Linked DNA regions of Arabidopsis thaliana. The protein of the gene in region 4 purifies or fractionates together with the protein of the main gene of each other region. This does not show direct contact. Each region holds a gene or a part of one and is shown on either strand. Other genes may lie near its edges.

Region 1 (4,765 bases), on a different chromosome or scaffold from region 4:
TGTTAGTTCTGCCGCTTTTTATTGTGGCGGGTTGAATTTGATAAAAAGCTCAAAAGTGACCGAAGAGTTTAGACACGTGACATGATGTGGATGGTTCATAATCAAAATGATTAGACGCATGAATTTACGAGCATCGATAATGATTGCCCAAGTAGAACCTTTATATGCTTTGCCCACACAGGTAGTATATGAATACCCACCGAGATTAGTTAGGTCGGCAGGATTGGGTTTATATTCGTGTAACGACCACATCTATTGCACATGCCACGTTTTATATGAAATCATCAAAACGCTTATGCGTATGGATTTTGCCTCTCTGGCTCGATCTAACGCCACAAACAGAACAGGACATGCAAAATCATTCACAATGTCAGATGGCAGCATCAGGATCATCATCATAATAGTTTGATTCGTTTCTATTTGCAGTTACTAGTGATCACCTTCCAAATTACATTGATTTCATAGTTATTGTATGATTTCGTTAGCCAAACCATGTTTATTGATAGTTGACCAAAATATTTCGTTGACATGTTAACGTCTTTCTAAAGTCACCCATAGTGAATCGAACATGAACACTAAGAAGACAAACAACAAAACGTGTCACTGATCAGTACCAACCTTGAAAACTAAAGACTGCGACAAACCAGAAATCTGGAACACTTGGTACGAAATTAAAACAGAAACAACAAGGTACATAGAATGATCGAGTACTGGAACAAGATAACAACTGCTATTTCTTCATTTTCATTGAACTCTATCAATAGCAAATAAAACATCCGAGAGAACGAACCACAATATCCAGTTTCAGAGAAGGAACATAGTTACTATGGGACGAGAGCTTCTACATAACCGGGTTAAGGAGTATACCGAACTTGGACAAAAGCAGATATGTGATATCAGATCAATCCATCCTTCCCTTCAGGATTCTCTCCTTCACCTCCTTTGGTGTTCTGGACAACATGACCATGAAAGAATGTTACTATCTTATATAATACATATCCTTAGAAGATAAGTGCACATGAGGTATATTCTGTAAGAAGCCAGATGTGACAGAAAAAAAGAAGAAGAAGAAGAAGAAGAAGATGAGGAGAACAAAACTTACACAACGTAGACATGTCCTCCCCACCCACTAAGACAATCGCGGTCAACTGAAGAGAGAAGTGCTTGTGAAATTGTCTCGAATAGTTCCTCAGCTTCCTGAAACTCAAATTTGTTAAGTCTAGTTATATGCTTTTCATTTCATCACGAGTCTGTTTACAATGCACTTCTTAGAATGATGACCTTGAAATTCAAACTTTATCGAAGCAGTACTATGGCAGGGAAGTAATCGCAATATTGAAACATCTTAATCCTAAGCCAAATTAAAATATACAGAGAAAATTATTGGAGTTACGTCATATATCACCAGCACTATGCACACAAATATTCCTACCAGATCAAGATTCTACAATAGAATACTTACATATGAATGATCCTACCAAATTTTCAGGTGATAAACACACATTTGAGTATCCAGTGAATCGGTACAAAAACAAGTTTTCAGAAGGCACATACCATATCTGGTTTGAACATGGCTTCACAGGCACCATATAGAGATTCTGAAGCAGTTCCCGAGACAACAAAATCTTTAGCTAACTCCCTGCATTTAGAGAGAACAAGCGTCAAGGCATGCTCACCATTGCAACTATCATGTTCGGTAAAATCTCAACTATATTAAGAATCATATTTAAATCAGCTCAACACATGTAAAATAAGTTCACTCATATGACATGCATACACTGCATTGGATGACAAAAGACCAAAATTAGATTCCAACTAAAACCAAAATATCAATCCACGATCATTTTCTAGCTGACCTAGCAAGTTTCACGATTACAGTCACTGACTAAGTAAATTAAATGGCATTACAGACGAAAAATGAGATATAACGTCTTAAGTAATGAAGAAAGCGAGCATACTTGGCTCCAATAGAATCCATAGTGCAAATGAAGGGTTTGTTATCATCTCCCAATCCAGCAATCACAGGTTGGCACAAGAATGGGCCAAATCTGAAATAAAGAATTTGGTACTTAGTAGTGGCAATGCCACATTAATCATAAGAAATCAGATTGTTAAGAGGAAACTAGAAACTAATAACAAATTGAGAGAAGAAGACATTTCACCAACCTTTTCTCATAAAGAATAGCCGATACAAGACTAGCGAAAGTTTCAGGCTTCATGTCTCTTTCTTCCCTAAGCTGATATAACTTATGACGAAATACGAGTCGCTGGTACCTTCAGTACCAAAGACAAAACAAAAAAAAACGGAGCCCTAAATTTTGTAATTCACCTAAAATTCTCTGAGGAAAGGAGTAAACATATACGAGAGCTTACAATGTCTGGACATCGGTGGCGAGACCGGAAAGTCCGATGAAGAGATGATCGTGGATCTTAGATATTCTCTGAAAATCGGTAGCAATGGTTTGTAATTGCACACCAAGCCTCCGATCACTAGCTATAGCGAAGCAATTCTTCCCTACCATAGCTACGACGGCACTTCCATTGTACTCGAAGATCTGAATCACCACAATGTCCACCGATTTTATCGTTCAATTCATACTATCAATCTTTGCGCAGAACAAACAAAAGTTAGAAATTGAAAAAAAGAATTCGGCAAGGAACACTTACCGACATCGGAAAATTAGGGTTTACTGAGTGAAGCTTCGGGAGTTTTCCTATCGGAGAAGAAATCTGAGCAAGAGAAGAACAATTATTAAAGTCGACGATGGCTTGGACGAAACTCTAGACAATTTTTTATTTTTTTTGGTTCTTATTGATGGGCCTCGATATTATTGGGCTTTCAGATGACTTTTATGTCTTTATTTTTTCTTGCTCTGCTTTTACTTTTTTACTACGAGATAAATTTTGCTTTGGTCATAAAAGTTGGGGAAACGTTTTTGTGCAGGCATGTCCTCAAACTCTACTTATTTGGTCACTGTCGCCGACATTATGCACTGCGACCTGCTCATGGTATTAGAAGTGATGGTTCGGTACATGGTTCACCAAGGGACTCGTTCACACGCCCCTATTCGCTGCAATGTTAGCTGAGTGCATTGTCGTGCAATGCATACCGGTCTTGTTTTCACCCAAAACCATGGTACATTTGGTATCTTCGGAAGTAATTACTTGGTGTTCACAGAGTTTTTCGGAGCTCCTGCTATGCAACTTTTCATATGTACGGTTTCCTCTGTCTGTGCTTTAGACCGGGCCTGTCCATTGACAAAATAACACTCAAATAGAACACAAGATTTCAAGGATCTGTCAGAGCAATATGGTTCAAATGAGATCAGTCATCAATTTGATTCTGAGCCTGACTTATGTGCACCCAAACAATACTAACTACACTTCGAAAGATGCGGCTGATGTAGCACTAGAAGCACTAGCTAAGCAAACAACGGCTAAGGTTGTGTATTCATTGTAAGCCACATATCTATTTTTTCTTCTTATCCGGATGTTTAATCACAGAGACTCGACAGTATTCAGAAGACAATAATAAGTATAGGTTTGTGGAGAGATGATCTCACTTTACTTGGGATCAACGCGGGCATCGAGCCAAGCAACGATGTCATTGATTACAGTGAAAATATTTTCGTCTGTATCACCTTCTAGAATGCAATGGTAGCCACCTGGATAGAGTTTTAGAGTCTTGTCTTGGCTGACTGCATGTTTGTGAAGGAATTTACTCACAGTGGGATCTGTGACTTTATCAGTGTCTCCATGAAGTATCAACAGTGGCAACGAGACCTGCAACATAGAAAAGAAAGATCTCGTTTTTTGCCCCTGTCTATGATGAGAAGAGCTTTCCTTTATTTCTTTGGTTCTACAACTAACCTTGTCAACTTGCATCTCAATGTCTCTTGTTGCATTTAGAAGTTCAACAGCAGTTTTGAGACGTGTTTGATCATCGTAGCATATCACATCGTACTCACACTTTATCCACAGAGAACAAAAACATCAAAGACAAAGTTAGCAAAAATGCTTCAGAAAATGTACCATTGAAAAACTAAGAGAAAGTACCAATTTTCTTTTACTCAGGTCCCTGAAGAAGAAGTCGCTCAAGTCTCTCTTTGGAAAGAGCTTTGCTTTGGGAAATAGTGTCGACATCAAGATTAACGTCTTCAAGACTAGTGGAGGAGGTTTTACATCTTCTGAAATCTTGAGACAACCCAAGGTCAGGTATTTCAAACATGAACTAACTAGATGTAAAATGTGAATACAGATACTTCCAAGCACTGAAAATCTTATTTGCAGATTTGAGAAACAAATCTCCAGACCTCAATTACATGCATAGAAAATGATATAGTTAGAGACTTACCTTACACATTGGAGCGACAAGGATAAGACCATCCCAAGCTTGAGGTTCTTTAAGATGAATTTTTAAGGCAACTGCTCCTCCCATTGACTGTCCCAGCAAAAACCGGGGCAAATTTCTCAATTCCGATCTCCCTAGGAATCAAACCACTTAAATAAAACCCAAAAGCAAGATTCAACACCAAAAAGCAATAACAGGTACAATTTAGATATACCTTTCATTTTGGTGAACTGTTCAATAGCATTGTCTGCTAAGTCATCAAAACTTGGAATGTGACCATGTAAACCATCTGATAAACCAAAACCAGGATGGTCTATAGCATAAACCCCATAACCAAAACCTGCTATTTGCTTTGCTATACCTGTAAAACAACCCAATTTTTTTCCCACATATATTAAAAGAAGAGCCTTTCAA
Region 2 (4,842 bases), on a different chromosome or scaffold from region 4:
GTAAGAGTATGCTGGAATTTTGACACATTCTTTGGGATTCTTACTGCTGCAACCTGGAATTATGTCTCCTTTCATACCATTATAGTTTATATATGTTTGTCCTTCTCCAAATCCGCTGAACAATGATAATATAATCATTACTGAAACAAAGAAAATGCGGATATGACTCTTTTTGTGTGCAGCCATTGTTTTTTGAGAAAACAAAAACAATGTAATTGAAACTTCTTGATATTTTTCTGTGTTATTATATTTTTGTAGTTTGAATACGTGATTAATTATTAATTTGTGTTTCTTTGATTTATAATGAGAAGGATGATTCTAAAAAAAAGACGGCCAGTGCATAATGTATGTGCTGATAGAGTTTCGTGGCTATTTATATGTCATTTACAGTTTTTTCGGTTAATATGTTCGGTTGGTTTCTAGCATGGCAGCAAATTTATCGGCCACAACAAGACTTTCGTGAATATCTGTGTTGTCGTTAGTGTTTGTTTGTTTCGTTGTTGTAAAAATTGATCTGTTCTGTTGTTTCTTCACTCTGTTCAGTGCTTGATGAATGTGTACGTACGTACATCCATCTACTCTTCAACGTTCACATGTATATTCTAAATTTGAACCGAGCCGAAACCAAGTATATATAAATTTCAATGTTCTTTGTATTAACTTCGATACAAAACCCAAAACTGAACTAAACCGGAACCAAGCCGGTAGAGCTAAACCAATTTAATCTCTTTTCAGGAGAGTTCAGAGATTACTCTTTCACATTTATCTTCCAATATCTTCACTGCTTCGTTGAAAAGAACCTCCGGAGGCTGTGATCCCGTGGACTCAATTGTAACTGCGAAAGATGATAAGAAACTCAATTAGAATCTCTTTCAGTACCATGGAATTGCCAGGTTGAAGGAACTGTGTTTTTCTTTTTCTTTTCTTACATATAAAATGGTTCTTGACACGGCGCAGATCCACTTGGTCCTCCCATTCCACTCCATCTCTTATGCATTCTCTACACAACGAACAATCACGCGGCCGAGCTACTGTTGCCCTCTTCCTACCTGTTTTCCACGTTTGCAAGTCAAATTAATTTGCCGCCAAAGTTCTCAGGTTTCATCAGAATCTCTTATTGTTACTCAAAAGCAAGTAAAGACATTTGAAGGAAACTTGGGAAGGCTTTTACTTCACCTTGGCCCATGTCTTCAATGTCAAAAACTTTCTTGGGGCAGACTTTTACGAGTTCTTCGGCATGTTTACCCTCGAATTCCTTTAGTAGAACCACCTAAGATATTATAAACAAAAAGCATTACCGGAAAAGCCTAGGACGAGTCAAGAAGAAATTAATTAAGTCCTTTTCCCAGAAGGCTTATGGTGAACTTCTCACCTCAGGAAGCATTCGATACCAAGCCGTTGCTACTGGGGACCACTTTGCATGTGTTTTACCAATGCCCTTAACGGCATGAGCCTCAAGCTCGATTTCCTGCAAGAAGAAGATGCAAGTCTTTCATCTCTCAACGGAATTAAGTCCTCAAAAATGTCACAATTAAGGGGAAGAGTATAAATAGAAACAGTACCTGGCCAGGGCCAAGTTTTGCTATCAAGATATCTTTTAAGGTTGGCCTGATAGGATTTTCAGCAAATTCAGGGAAGGAATCTTGGCTATGGTTGAATGAAGTGTAAGTTTTTGGCGTTGTGGTTGAACCTCCAGATTCTTTGATAAGCTCACTTCCATTTGGTAACCATTTCAATTCGCTTGTTAAGACTTCAAGAAATAAAAAAATGATACCTCTCATGAGATCTCGAGCTAACAATAAAACAAAGACTCTTCTTGAGCAAACCAAAGAACATATATTACCTTTACGACGCGGGTCACCTTTTAGACATTTCACATGGAGTTTGAAAACAATGGTGTTCTTTTCATTTGGCTGATCGTTTTCTATGACACAAAGATAAACAACAACAAAACTAAGCGTGACACAAAGAGTTTATATGCTTAATGAGATGGATCACATTCCACAGAATATTTCTTACCAGATAAATATTCAAAGAGTCTCGGATCTGCGGCAATTGGAATAAGACCCAACCTGTGAGCAAGAACTTCGTCTTGAATAACCGATGTGTTGTTTGCTACATACACTTTTTCAATAGCCATTGAAGGAAGCTGTAATCAAAGAAACACTATTAACCAAAGATTCTAATAATCAGAGATTCATCAGAGGTAGTGAGACAGTGGGCAGACCTCAGCTAAGAGGATTCTTCGGAAAGCATTAGCGATTCCTGCATGGACACCGATCATATCGAATACCATATCTGTCTCTGTGAGACTAATCACATCAACTTTGAAATCCTCAGAGAAGTTTTCTAGTCTCACACTGTTGTCCACTCCCATAGAGGAATAGGCACCCGAGAAAGTGATAGCCGTAGGCTACAATAAAACACAAAAAGAAAGGGAAGAACATTAAAGACTTCAAATTTCAAACAATCATCACTCAATATCATTCGGATTTCGACAAACCCACAGTGTAATCTTCTTAAATTGCTAAGACCAAACTCAGTAAATTCACAGCTTTCTACAAGCAAGTTTTAAACTTTACTCTGTAAATCTACACGAAATCGATGAACATAGCAAACCCACATGGGACACACTGAGAAAAGCCAATAAATTTCTAGTTAGCTGAACTTATACATAGCTTAAAAAGAGTGTAAATTTTGATCGAGAATAGTACTTACATGAATATTAGAATCCTTCTTACAGACAACGCGAGTTCGCTGGAGCTCAAGATGCGGAGGAAGTCCGGTAGGAACGTCAGGGAGATCAAATATGTTGAAGTTCTTCGCTTCTCTCTTTTCTTCATCAGTCACAATCCTTGTTACTTCGTTAGTCCCCATCCTTCTCTGCAGCCAAGTTCGATTGTGAGAATCCGAAATCAGGGTTTAAGGAGAAGAGGAAGATGAAAATTGCACGATTTCACTTTTCACTTCAATTTCGTTCTTCAATTTCATAAAACTGGAAAATTAGGGTTTATGGACACGTGTGAATACTAGAAAAAAAAACATCCATTTTTCTAATAGCGGCATGGCTTAAGTCCGAACCGAAGCGGCTGAACCGTCCAACCGGAGTTTGGTTGATTTCTGACTTTTAAAATTTTCGTTACCACCAAACCGAAATTCTAATCTTAAGTCCGAACCAAATCGACATTTTTTTATTTTTTAATTAACCACATATTAGTTAAAAGATAATTATATGATTGGTCGCCGAATATGGAAAAAAAATCTACAAAACAAATTTGAGAAAACAGTAAACGAAAAGAACGAACTAAACAATCTGTCTTATAATTAAACAAATGAGATATATAGAAAATCATGAAACGAGAAATATAACATTCGACATTTTGTTTGATTTTCTACTATATAACTTTTCCAAATATAAGTAGAAATGTCGATTTCTAAACAAACCCGATCTGAATAATCATATTCTCCAAATTTAGTTATGGCAGTTCAAACCCATAATGGTGAAGGTTCTCACTCCAGTATTTTTTTTATTATAGCATACCAAGATAACCAGAAGAATGAGCCAAGAAACTAAACAAAACTAAAACCAAAACTAGTTCCAATCAACTCAAACACGAAAGTAGATAAATAACAAACCACATGTGATTTCAAATTTAGTTTAGTCTAATAAAAAACAAAAAGACTAAACCGGACGACCATACATTGGGTCCCTATCGTAAATTAGCAAACAAATTAGTGTTGCCCATTTTAAAAGTTTGAACTCTTCTTTATTTAAAAAAAGAAGAAGAAGAATTGAACTGGTCAGGAAGAAAAAAATAGAAAAGGAGAAAAAGGACAGAGGGAAAATGGAGAAAAGTAGAGTAAAATGGCGTCACACCAGAGAGAAGGCACAACTCACGGGGAAATCAGCAGAACCAATACCACCGCCACCGGTTACTATTACTATTCTTGTTATCATCATCTCCCAAAAAAAAAATGTTAGTATTATTTTCGAGTCTATTTTTCAAGTTTTTGTTTTGTTTTTAATATCTCGACTTTGCCACCCAACTCCTCCCACTCCTTCACAACTGTGTCCTGTCCTCTGCTGATTTCTCACCTTTCCATCATTCATTTCATTCTTTCTTTTTTCCCATCCGTTTCTTTTATTCTTCTTTCTCCTTAAATTTAAAATCTTTGAATTAAATTATTGGATTTTATTGTTTCAAAGCGTTTCTATCATCAAAACCCATCTTCTTCTTCTTAAGATTCTGAATCATTCATTGATTGATTTAGCTTCTCTTCGACTTCTTAATTTTACAGTTTTTTTTGTTTTTTAAACTTTAATTGATGCAAATAAGCAAACTTGGATCGCTGTGAGCCTGTGATAATGATTTCTTTTAGGTTTGTAGGATCTGAAGGAAGCTACGGTTTATTTTTTTTTATGGGCAATCTCTAACAGGTACAAATCTTCTCTTAGCTTCTCTCTTACAAGATCTTTAGGTTATGTCTTGTTCTTTGGAGTTGCTATCTTTCTTCCATGTTCCAGAGGTTTGCCTTATTTTATCACTTTTGACATAATAATTTATTTTGCCTGTTTTTTGTTACTTGGTTTAATATTCAGATGAATCTTTGACCATGATCTCTAAATTTGGTTCCTAGGCAAGATCAAAGAAAGTTCATCACATAGGAGTTGATCATGAACCATAGTTTCCTCAAAGATCTCAACTTTGTCTCTAGTTGGATTGTAATCTGTATTGCTTAGGACAGTTAAATCTTATTACATCTTGGCTCGTCATGTCAAAAGCTGAAGATATTTGAGCTTTCATATCTTACAACTAATTAGTTTCGTATGTCTACAGGTTT
Region 3 (4,110 bases), on a different chromosome or scaffold from region 4:
AACCGCCTAAACCTCCTGCCGTCAAACCACCTAAACCACCGGCAGTAAAACCACCTACTCCAAAACCTCCCACCGTGAAACCCCATCCTAAACCACCAACCGTCAAACCCCATCCTAAACCACCAACCGTCAAACCCCACCCTAAGCCACCCACCGTCAAACCACCCCACCCTAAACCACCCACCAAACCTCACCCCCACCCAAAACCTCCCATCGTAAAGCCACCAACCAAGCCTCCTCCGTCCACCCCTAAACCTCCCACCAAACCTCCCCCGTCCACACCTAAACCTCCCACGACCAAGCCTCCTCCGTCTACTCCGAAACCACCCCACCACAAGCCTCCGCCTACACCATGCCCACCACCAACACCAACGCCGACTCCACCAGTTGTAACACCGCCAACACCAACCCCACCCGTCATAACTCCACCAACACCAACCCCACCCGTCGTAACACCGCCAACGCCAACTCCACCCGTCATTACACCACCAACACCAACTCCACCCGTCATTACACCACCAACACCAACACCACCCGTCGTGACACCTCCAACACCAACACCACCCGTAGTAACACCACCAACACCAACTCCTCCTACGCCTATTCCAGAGACTTGCCCAATTGACACGCTGAAGCTAGGCGCTTGTGTGGACGTTCTTGGAGGTTTGATTCACATCGGACTTGGAAAAAGCCACGCCAAGGCAGAATGTTGTCCGGTTTTAGGAGGTTTACTTGACCTAGACGCAGCCGTTTGTCTATGTACCACCATTAAGCTCAAACTTCTCAACATCGACCTTGTTCTCCCCATTGCTCTTGAGCTTCTTCTCGACTGTGGAAAAACTCCACCATCTGACTTCAAATGTCCCGCTTAATCGATGTAGAACGTTGAGAGTCTCTGGACGACTCCAAAAGTTTCGTTTCTTCAAGAAATTTGTTAGTTTCATGATCTATTTGGTAATGGGAGGTTAATCTGCATATGTGCGACCTTTAGTTACATGTTTCATTTGATACAATAAAAGGCGTTGTAATTTGGGTTTGAGATTTCAATTTCTTTGGGCTTTCTTGTTATGTTGTACTTTTAAGAAGAAGAAAAAAAAACTGTTAAACGATATAACTTTTTTTTTAATATGAACAAGTTTGTATCTGTCTAATTTGTTTTTATGTACATACGTACGTTTTGGAGTAGAAAAAATGTGATTTTTGTAGCCATGGCCCATGCGCATTGCACTGATGCATATGCGCCTCACAGCGCAGCTACTGACCAAGAACATGTGTATAAATTTAGTTATACTGTATACACGTATACTCTTGCTAAAAAAAAATTATCTATCACATTTTTTTTTGTCCAAACATTTGATAAAAAAGATATATGATAAGATTACAAAATTTTGATTTGTTTATGAAGATTTCAAGAAAATAAGTAAGCCCCTAATATTTTAGAGTGTGTTATTAGTTATCTTGTTAGTGACAATTGTTTATCATACATTACAAGAGATATATCTATGTATTTTCTTATACAAATAACATACATTGTGTGTTACTACGTACCAGGGATTTAACAAAACATTTAGTTTGTAAATACTACATTTTTACTTTTCTTTTAACATCGTGAATATATATAACATTACATTCTTATTATGATTTATGAAATAGGTGCACATTTAAATGTTTTTTCTAAAAGGGATATTCTTACTGATATGTGTATATAAATACATCCACGTAAAATGAATCTAGCTTTTTTTTTTGTCAGAAATGAATCTAGTTTATATTTCTATACACATATCAGTAAAAAAAAAAAAAAAAAAAAAAAATCAGCATATGACAACAAAAATTAAGATATATCAGAGATTCCGAGTTATGGATCTTGCATTGGGCTTGATTATATAATTTGGGCCTTTTCTTATCCATAAATTACACTTTTGGGCCTAATCTGTAAAGCACAAAAAAAAAACACCTTTTTTTTTTCTTTTCTTTCTGGCTTGTCGAACAGTTCACATCTCAGAGCTCATAAATTTTGTGGAGAGCAAAGTTCTCAGCAAAATCAAAGAAGAACCGAACGAGAGAGAGAAACGAATTCTTCTCAGGTATTCTCTTAAATCCAATGTCTTTCATTCTCCTACTTGTTCCTAGAATTTTCAGAATCTGTGTATCTTCCTTTCCTGTTTAATTTTGCTGGATCTGTCTTGAGCGAAGTGTTTTCTTATGAAATCTTCAAACTTTTGATAGAATTTTATAAACCCTAGCTAGATTCGATTCTGGGTGATGTTTAGTTTTTAGGTGTTTTTATATGGGCATCAGTGATTGTTGAATTATCTTTCGATTTTTCTCTTCGCTCCTGTGATTGTGACTTTAGGTTTGTGTTGATCTCAAAGTAACATAGATTTATAAAGCTAGTTCATTTCCTTTCTATTGAAGAAACTTGACCTAGTTTTAGTCTAGTTTTTAATCTGAATCAATTGTGTTTGTTGATCGTTGTGATGTCGAAAACCCTAGTTTTCGTGTTTTCGGAACTTGCCCTGTGTCTAATGGAGTATGAATTAGTTGTGTAGACCAATGCATTTGTTGTGGTGCAGGTGTTAAAGAATGTCTCGGAGATATGATAGCCGTACCACAATCTTCTCGCCAGAAGGTCGTCTTTACCAGGTAGAGTATGCTATGGAGGCCATTGGAAACGCCGGTTCTGCGATTGGAATCTTATCCAAAGACGGTGTTGTGTTGATCGGTGAGAAGAAAGTCACCTCAAAGCTTCTTCAAACCTCAACCTCTGCTGAGAAAATGTACAAGATTGATGACCATGTTGCCTGTGCTGTTGCTGGTATAATGTCTGATGCTAACATACTTATCAACACGGCTCGAGTTCAAGCTCAACGTTACACCTTCATGTACCAAGAGCCCATGCCGGTTGAGCAGCTGGTTCAATCTCTTTGTGACACAAAACAAGGATACACACAGTTTGGTGGTCTTCGCCCGTTTGGTGTCTCCTTTCTCTTTGCAGGATGGGACAAGCACCATGGTTTCCAGCTTTATATGAGTGACCCGAGTGGGAACTATGGTGGTTGGAAAGCTGCAGCTGTTGGAGCAAACAATCAGGCGGCTCAGTCTATCCTGAAACAAGACTACAAGGACGATGCAACCAGGGAAGAAGCAGTCGAGCTTGCCTTGAAGGTTCTGACCAAGACAATGGACAGCACTAGCTTAACATCTGAGAAGCTAGAGCTTGCTGAAGTGTATCTGACTCCATCCAAGACTGTTAAGTACCATGTTCACTCACCTGAGTCGCTCACCAAACTGTTGGTCAAGCACGGTGTGACTCAACCCGCTGCTGAAACATCTTAAGCCCAAAAGTATCTCTAGTCTTATTCGCCTGGTACGGTGTCTCCGCTTTATGTTTGTAGTTCTCTGTTTTACAGCTTTCCTTTTGGTTTGAACTTTGAAGTTACCTTTGGCGATGAAACTAGATTTGACAATGTTATGAATTTATCTTCAATGCATCATCTTTTTACTAATGTCGATCAAAGGAACAGATATATTTTATTCTTATCTCTTTAGATTAGTCTGAATTTCTTCAATTCATGACTTGAATACTAAGCATTCTACTTGTCGCGCAAAGTTTTACACGTAACGGCCTCGTCAAAAAGAACTGTTTTATCTTCTAAGTAAACGCAATTACACGTTGAGAATCTTGGAATCACAAAAGAGTAACGTTTAAGGAAGAATAGAATCAAAATTCTAGATTTTTGTTTTGCATTCTTGGTATTAATCTCACAAGAAAATTTTATAGATTTAAGTTTGTATCATCTCCATAAAAACGAATTTATCTTTACTTTTCATTACGCACAACTTTGTGACAAAGAAAACAACACAAGAAAAGATAAATACTCTGAAACATAAGAACCAAATGGTAACTATAATTGACTCCTTATGCTCTCTATCACTCTATGTACAAATATGATCGTAAGCTTACAGCTTCACTAATCAAGAACAGAGCTTAGGAAGTGATCTATTACTTCCTTTGCTCGAGCTCTTGGATCTCTTCTTGATAACTTCCATTTGATTCTGCATTTTCAAACAAGCTCTCTCCAATTCCATTACCCTCCATTGAATCCCTTC
Region 4 (4,652 bases):
ACCATCTCGAATCCCCAAAGTTTTCCGAGAACACAATGACTGAAATTTTCGATACTTCAATTGCTTTTAACGACTCTTCATACCTCTCGTCAGCTGGTAGTTCGTCATACAAGAAGGTTTTGATCCGTTTCCTACGTAGACAGCCACAGAGATGGCTTACGAAGTTGTCACGAGTGTCTTTGCTCCTGAAACTTATGAACACATCGTGTTTCATTTTAGGACTTGAATTCATTTCCTTATTTTTGTCATACCACTTTCCTTTCTTCTGTTTTCATCTTTATAGTTCTTTATAACTTTCTTTGCAATTTCCTAGAAATTATTATCTTTACTAAAGTACAAAAACACACGACTTCAATCCTCTTTTTCTATTGCAATTTTGAAACTTTCTTCGTAGTTTCTTGGAAGTGTATGTATTTTATATTTGATTCAGACAGCCTGTCGACAAATATCGACAGCTACTTATGTTGACTTTAAATATCTCCAAGCTTCAGAAATAAGTTCAAACAATAATGTAAAATAACCCACATAAGCTTAGACTTGGAAATTGGACTATATATTCGTAACCGCAAAGTAAAAATGATGGAAATTTCAAATGAATAAATCTATGAGGTTGTTCTGAAGAAAGCAAACTAATAAATTGCTAATTTGGAAGCAGATTAATAATGGGCAAACGATTTTATATGATCAGAAAAAAAAATCTAAGCAGAGAGTGAAAACAGAAAAACGGAGAAAAAGAGAGCAAACTCGAAAAAAGAGATTGAAACCAGTCGTTGTGCATCATTCACATGTAAAGACCTTCAGGAACTCCTTCTTTCTTCTTGAACATAACCTTCTCCTTCGCCTTCTTGAAGTCCACATGCGTCACCTAAACCAATAGAAGACCAAACAAAGGTTAAAGTAAAATTATTCAAAGATTGCGTTCGATGAATCAAGTGGTGAGAAGCCAGAGAATCCTTACTTTCATCCGACGCTCTCTAAGAGCAAGCAGACCAGCTTCTGTGCATATTGCCTTTATATCAGCTCCTGAGAACTCGTCTTTTGTCATTACAAACTCTTCTAAGTTCACATCTTCAGCCAAAGTCATCTTTGATGTGTGTATCTAATAATGGCATGCAATTAAAAACCGATCAGATCTTTCTAGAAAATTCACAAAAAAAGAAAGAAAACTTAAGGATCACCAGTTGTGGAACCTGGAAGATACGTCTTCTTGTTTTGATATCTGGAAGAGGGAATTCGATTTTCCTGTCGATCCGGCCTGGTCTAAGAAGTGCCGGGTCAAGACTCTCGATCCTGTTTGTCGCGAGAATAACCTTAACATCTCCTCTTGAATCAAACCCATCAAGCTGGTTCAGTAGTTCCAACATGGTTCTTTGGATTTCACGTTCCCCACCTGAGTTTGCGTCATACCTGTTTCAACCACCATTTTATATCACATATTAGATACCATCTCTTGAGCAAAATCAAGAACATTGTTTATCAATGGATCATGTTTATGTTGTATTTAGGCATACCGCTTGGTGCCAACAGCATCAATCTCGTCTATGAAAACAATAGAAGGAGAAAGGTCATCAGCAACCCTGAAAAGTTCCCTCACAAGCTTGGGACCATCTCCTAAATACTTCTGAATCAGTTCACTACCGACAACACGCAAGAAAGTAGCTGAAGTAGAATTTGCCACTGCCTGAAAGAATAACAAGAAATAACACTTGCTCATCTCCAACAGTTCCGAATTTAACAAGCATAAGAGACACATTAAAAAGAGGCACACTGCAACAATCCATGCTTGCGACATAGACAAAAAGAAAACGAAGACATTAAATCAATCCACGTGACTCTGAAAATCTTCCTCTATCTACACAAGTACTATGATCTAATATCTCAATTCTAGGTGATCAAACCAAAGAAGCCACTGTCCTGACTAATTCATCTTTCTAGTGAAGATTGATAAAAGACAGAAAATTTTGCATGCATGACTTGACATAAAACCAATCATACTTGGGAAGTACCATTATGTGCTGTATTAAGCAATTAACAACTAGAAAGCTTATTATATAATGGATACACTATAGGCTAAAAGACGAACCTTAGCAAGCAATGTCTTCCCAGTGCCTGGCTCACCATACAAGATCACACCTTTTGGTGGCTTAATTCCAATATCTTCATACAGCTCGGGATGTGTTAAAGGTAACTCAACAGCTTCCTTAATCTCCTGAATCTGAGCTTCTAAACCTCCAATGTCAGCATATGACTCCAAAGGAGCCTTCTCCACTTTCATCACAGACACCATTGGATCCACTTCATCTTGAAGAATCCCAACAACAGAGAGTACCTATCACAAAAATAATAAAAAATATCACATAGAAGAATTGGTTCAACGTTTCCATGGAAGAGCATTGTAAAACTCAATACCTTGTTATGCATCAAAATAGAGCAGCCAGGTTCAAGCTGATCCTTATCAACGAAAGACAAAATGCCAACGTAGTACTCAGGACCAACCGAAGAAGAAACAATGGCGTGATTCTCATCAATAAGCTCTTCAAGATTGCCAACACTCATAGGTGTACCACGAAGATCATCAACTTTAGATCTATCTTCCTCAGCTTTCTCTTCCTGAGGTTTCAATCTCTCCTGATTCGCTACGAACTCTTCCTCCATAAGCAAATAGTCCTTGATTCGCTCCAATTTCAGCAATCGAAGCTTACATTTAGTAGAAGGAGTCACCGTCGGCAATCTCGCCGCCGCTTCAGGTCCTTTCTGCTTCCGTTGCTTCCTCCCTACACGAGCAGGTGGTGCGGCTGGTTCGAACTTCTTCTCCTTCTTCTCTCCACCATCTGGTTTCCGATCTCCTTGCCGATTCAATCCGCCGGAAGGTCCTTGACCCATTGTGCTTCGTCTCTCTGAGGTTTCTTGCTCTCGGAGAAACAAATCTTTTAATCTGATAACGGGAGGAGATGATTAAAGTGGGCTTATTATTTTAGGCCTTTTTACGATGTGAAAAACTTAGTGGGCCTTAGGTATCGCAAATTTTTTTAAAACTGATTCAACCTAAGCTATTATCTGGTTTAGTTCAATAACTCGGTTTAATTATCTTTAATTTCGGTTTAAGTTTTGTAAAAGTCAATTCGTTGGTTTGGTAGTTGGTACGGTCAATCGGTACAGGTAAGGAACTTTTCTTTTGCCATTTGGGGAAATCGAATCAAAAATCAATTTCATCGTCTTCTCTATCTGTCATTCATCATCATCACAATCATCATCATCAAATCTCAGGATCTTCGAGGTGGTTCTTCTGTTTCGCAACTAGCTTCTAGATTGTGATTTACAATCTTCGAACTCTCGGTGAGTTTCTAGGTTTAGGGTTTTATCTCTCTTTACACGACAATTGTTATGGCCAATCGAGAAAGAGATCGAGAGCTTCTGATTCCCGTCGCTGATTTCGGCGACAAAGACGATGGTTCTTCTTCGAAGCCTTCTTCTTCTTCCTCTGCTTCTTCTTCGCATCAATCCGGCCACGAGGTCTAGTTTTTGTCACCTGATCTAAAAACGTGTTCTTCGTTTTCTCATTTCAAGATTCATGCGAAACTAACAGTAGAATTGGATGATAGTTATTCATAGATTTGGTCGATTCTGTCTCCCCTTAGTTCAAAATCTTGGAACTTGTTTTGCCCTAGATTCAGTATATCACAAGAACACTTGCTTAGATAAGTTTGGTAGTTGTGATTGAGTAGAGTATGAATTTGCATTCCAAGTTGTTGTGGTTGGAATCATTCAGATTCTTGAGTCTTTGTATTATGCTCATTCATGTTTTCAAGCATGTATAACTTATAGAGCATTGTGGCCTGATGCTTTAGCTCTTTTCTGCAGACTTTAAGCTTGTTCATTAGGGGTTGGGCGTCAAAGAAGTTCATGACAGGCTGGTAAGGAAGAGTTGAAATTTTGGCATTTGATGAAAACTTCCACAGATTAGTTTTAAGTCTCCATTGCTTTTTGCAGTGTTATCCTACTTCCTATTGCAGTTACTTTCTATACAACATGGTGGTTTATTCACTTTGTCGATGGATTCTTCTCTCCAATATATGCACTACTTGGAATCAACATATTTGGTAAGAATTTGAATGGCCCCTCTTTATCCTATTAACAACTTGATATCGGTTTCCCACAATGAGTTTGATTATTGTTTTGTAGGTTTCGGTTTTTTGACTTCCATTGCATTCATCTTCTTGGTTGGGGTGTTCATGTCTTCGTGGTTGGGGGCATCGGTTCTGAACTTGGGAGAGTGGTTTATCAAGCGGATGCCATTTGTTCGTCACATCTACAACGCCTCCAAGCAAATCAGCACTGCCATATCGCCTGGTCTAGCTTGCTTATAAAAATCTTGTTTTGCTTCTCAACATTAAGTTGATCTCCTATCTCATCTTGTTCTTATCCATTTCTCATCACAGATCAAAATACACAAGCTTTCAAGGAAGTTGCAATCATCAGGCATCCCCGTGTAGGTGAATATGCATTTGGCTTCATTACATCAACTGTTGTTCTCCAGGTGAGTGAAAATACTTTGCTCAAGGATTTTGTTATTCTTTCCAGAACGTCTCCTTGAGGATACAAACAATTTCGAGTTATATGGTTTACCATAATTTCGTAATCTTTTTACCCAA

Evidence for each region.
Region 1: the proteins of RPT2b (region 4) and PBC2 fractionate together in Arabidopsis thaliana (co-fractionation; one large-scale study listed by BioGRID). This does not show direct contact.
Region 2: the proteins of RPT2b (region 4) and RPAC43 fractionate together in Arabidopsis thaliana (co-fractionation; one large-scale study listed by BioGRID). This does not show direct contact.
Region 3: the proteins of RPT2b (region 4) and PAC1 fractionate together in Arabidopsis thaliana (co-fractionation; one large-scale study listed by BioGRID). This does not show direct contact.

What each region holds. Positions count from the first base shown.
Region 1 is NC_003070.9:29,094,242-29,099,006, reverse strand, and holds PBC2 (20S proteasome beta subunit C2), read right to left. Parts: upstream 2,988-4,765; coding exon 2,982-2,987; intron 2,807-2,981; exon of another isoform or gene 2,674-2,806; coding exon of another isoform or gene 2,668-2,673; intron 2,556-2,667; coding exon 2,374-2,555; intron 2,275-2,373; coding exon 2,167-2,274; intron 2,049-2,166; coding exon 1,959-2,048; intron 1,640-1,958; coding exon 1,555-1,639; intron 1,198-1,554; coding exon 1,103-1,197; intron 951-1,102; coding exon 902-950; 3' UTR 557-901; downstream 1-556. Other genes in the region: AT1G77420 (alpha/beta-Hydrolases superfamily protein), read right to left, coding at 3,565-3,783, 3,871-3,969, 4,057-4,194, 4,355-4,485, 4,566-4,712. UniProt on the Arabidopsis thaliana protein: Non-catalytic component of the proteasome, a multicatalytic proteinase complex which is characterized by its ability to cleave peptides with Arg, Phe, Tyr, Leu, and Glu adjacent to the leaving group at neutral or slightly basic pH.
Region 2 is NC_003070.9:22,329,260-22,334,101, reverse strand, and holds RPAC43 (RNA polymerase I subunit 43), read right to left. Parts: upstream 3,209-4,842; 5' UTR 2,878-3,208; coding exon 2,719-2,877; intron 2,634-2,718; exon of another isoform or gene 2,508-2,633; intron 2,414-2,507; coding exon 2,228-2,413; intron 2,150-2,227; coding exon 2,020-2,149; intron 1,925-2,019; coding exon 1,844-1,924; intron 1,751-1,843; coding exon 1,563-1,750; intron 1,469-1,562; coding exon 1,373-1,468; intron 1,271-1,372; coding exon 1,177-1,270; intron 1,050-1,176; coding exon 930-1,049; intron 836-929; coding exon 732-835; 3' UTR 534-731; downstream 1-533. Other genes in the region: RALFL6 (RALF-like 6), read right to left, coding at 1-186.
Region 3 is NC_003074.8:7,792,045-7,796,154, reverse strand, and holds PAC1 (20S proteasome alpha subunit C1), read left to right. Parts: upstream 1-1,892; 5' UTR 1,893-2,084; intron 2,085-2,573; 5' UTR 2,574-2,583; coding exon 2,584-3,336; 3' UTR 3,337-3,606; downstream 3,607-4,110. Other genes in the region: CWLP (cell wall-plasma membrane linker protein), read left to right, coding at 1-872; AT3G22104 (Phototropic-responsive NPH3 family protein), read right to left, coding at 3,976-4,110. UniProt on the Arabidopsis thaliana protein: The proteasome is a multicatalytic proteinase complex which is characterized by its ability to cleave peptides with Arg, Phe, Tyr, Leu, and Glu adjacent to the leaving group at neutral or slightly basic pH.
Region 4 is NC_003071.7:8,690,967-8,695,618, reverse strand, and holds RPT2b (AAA-type ATPase family protein), read right to left. Parts: upstream 3,053-4,652; 5' UTR 2,884-3,052; coding exon 2,410-2,883; intron 2,330-2,409; coding exon 2,084-2,329; intron 1,682-2,083; coding exon 1,512-1,681; intron 1,408-1,511; coding exon 1,191-1,407; intron 1,100-1,190; coding exon 959-1,099; intron 866-958; coding exon 782-865; 3' UTR 508-781; downstream 1-507. Other genes in the region: AT2G20142 (Toll-Interleukin-Resistance (TIR) domain family protein), read right to left, coding at 1-232; LCV1 (uncharacterized protein), read left to right, coding at 3,385-3,513, 3,862-3,914, 3,991-4,100, 4,183-4,350, 4,440-4,537. UniProt on the Arabidopsis thaliana protein: The 26S protease is involved in the ATP-dependent degradation of ubiquitinated proteins. The regulatory (or ATPase) complex confers ATP dependency and substrate specificity to the 26S complex. Acts redundantly with RPT2A in the regulation of gametogenesis.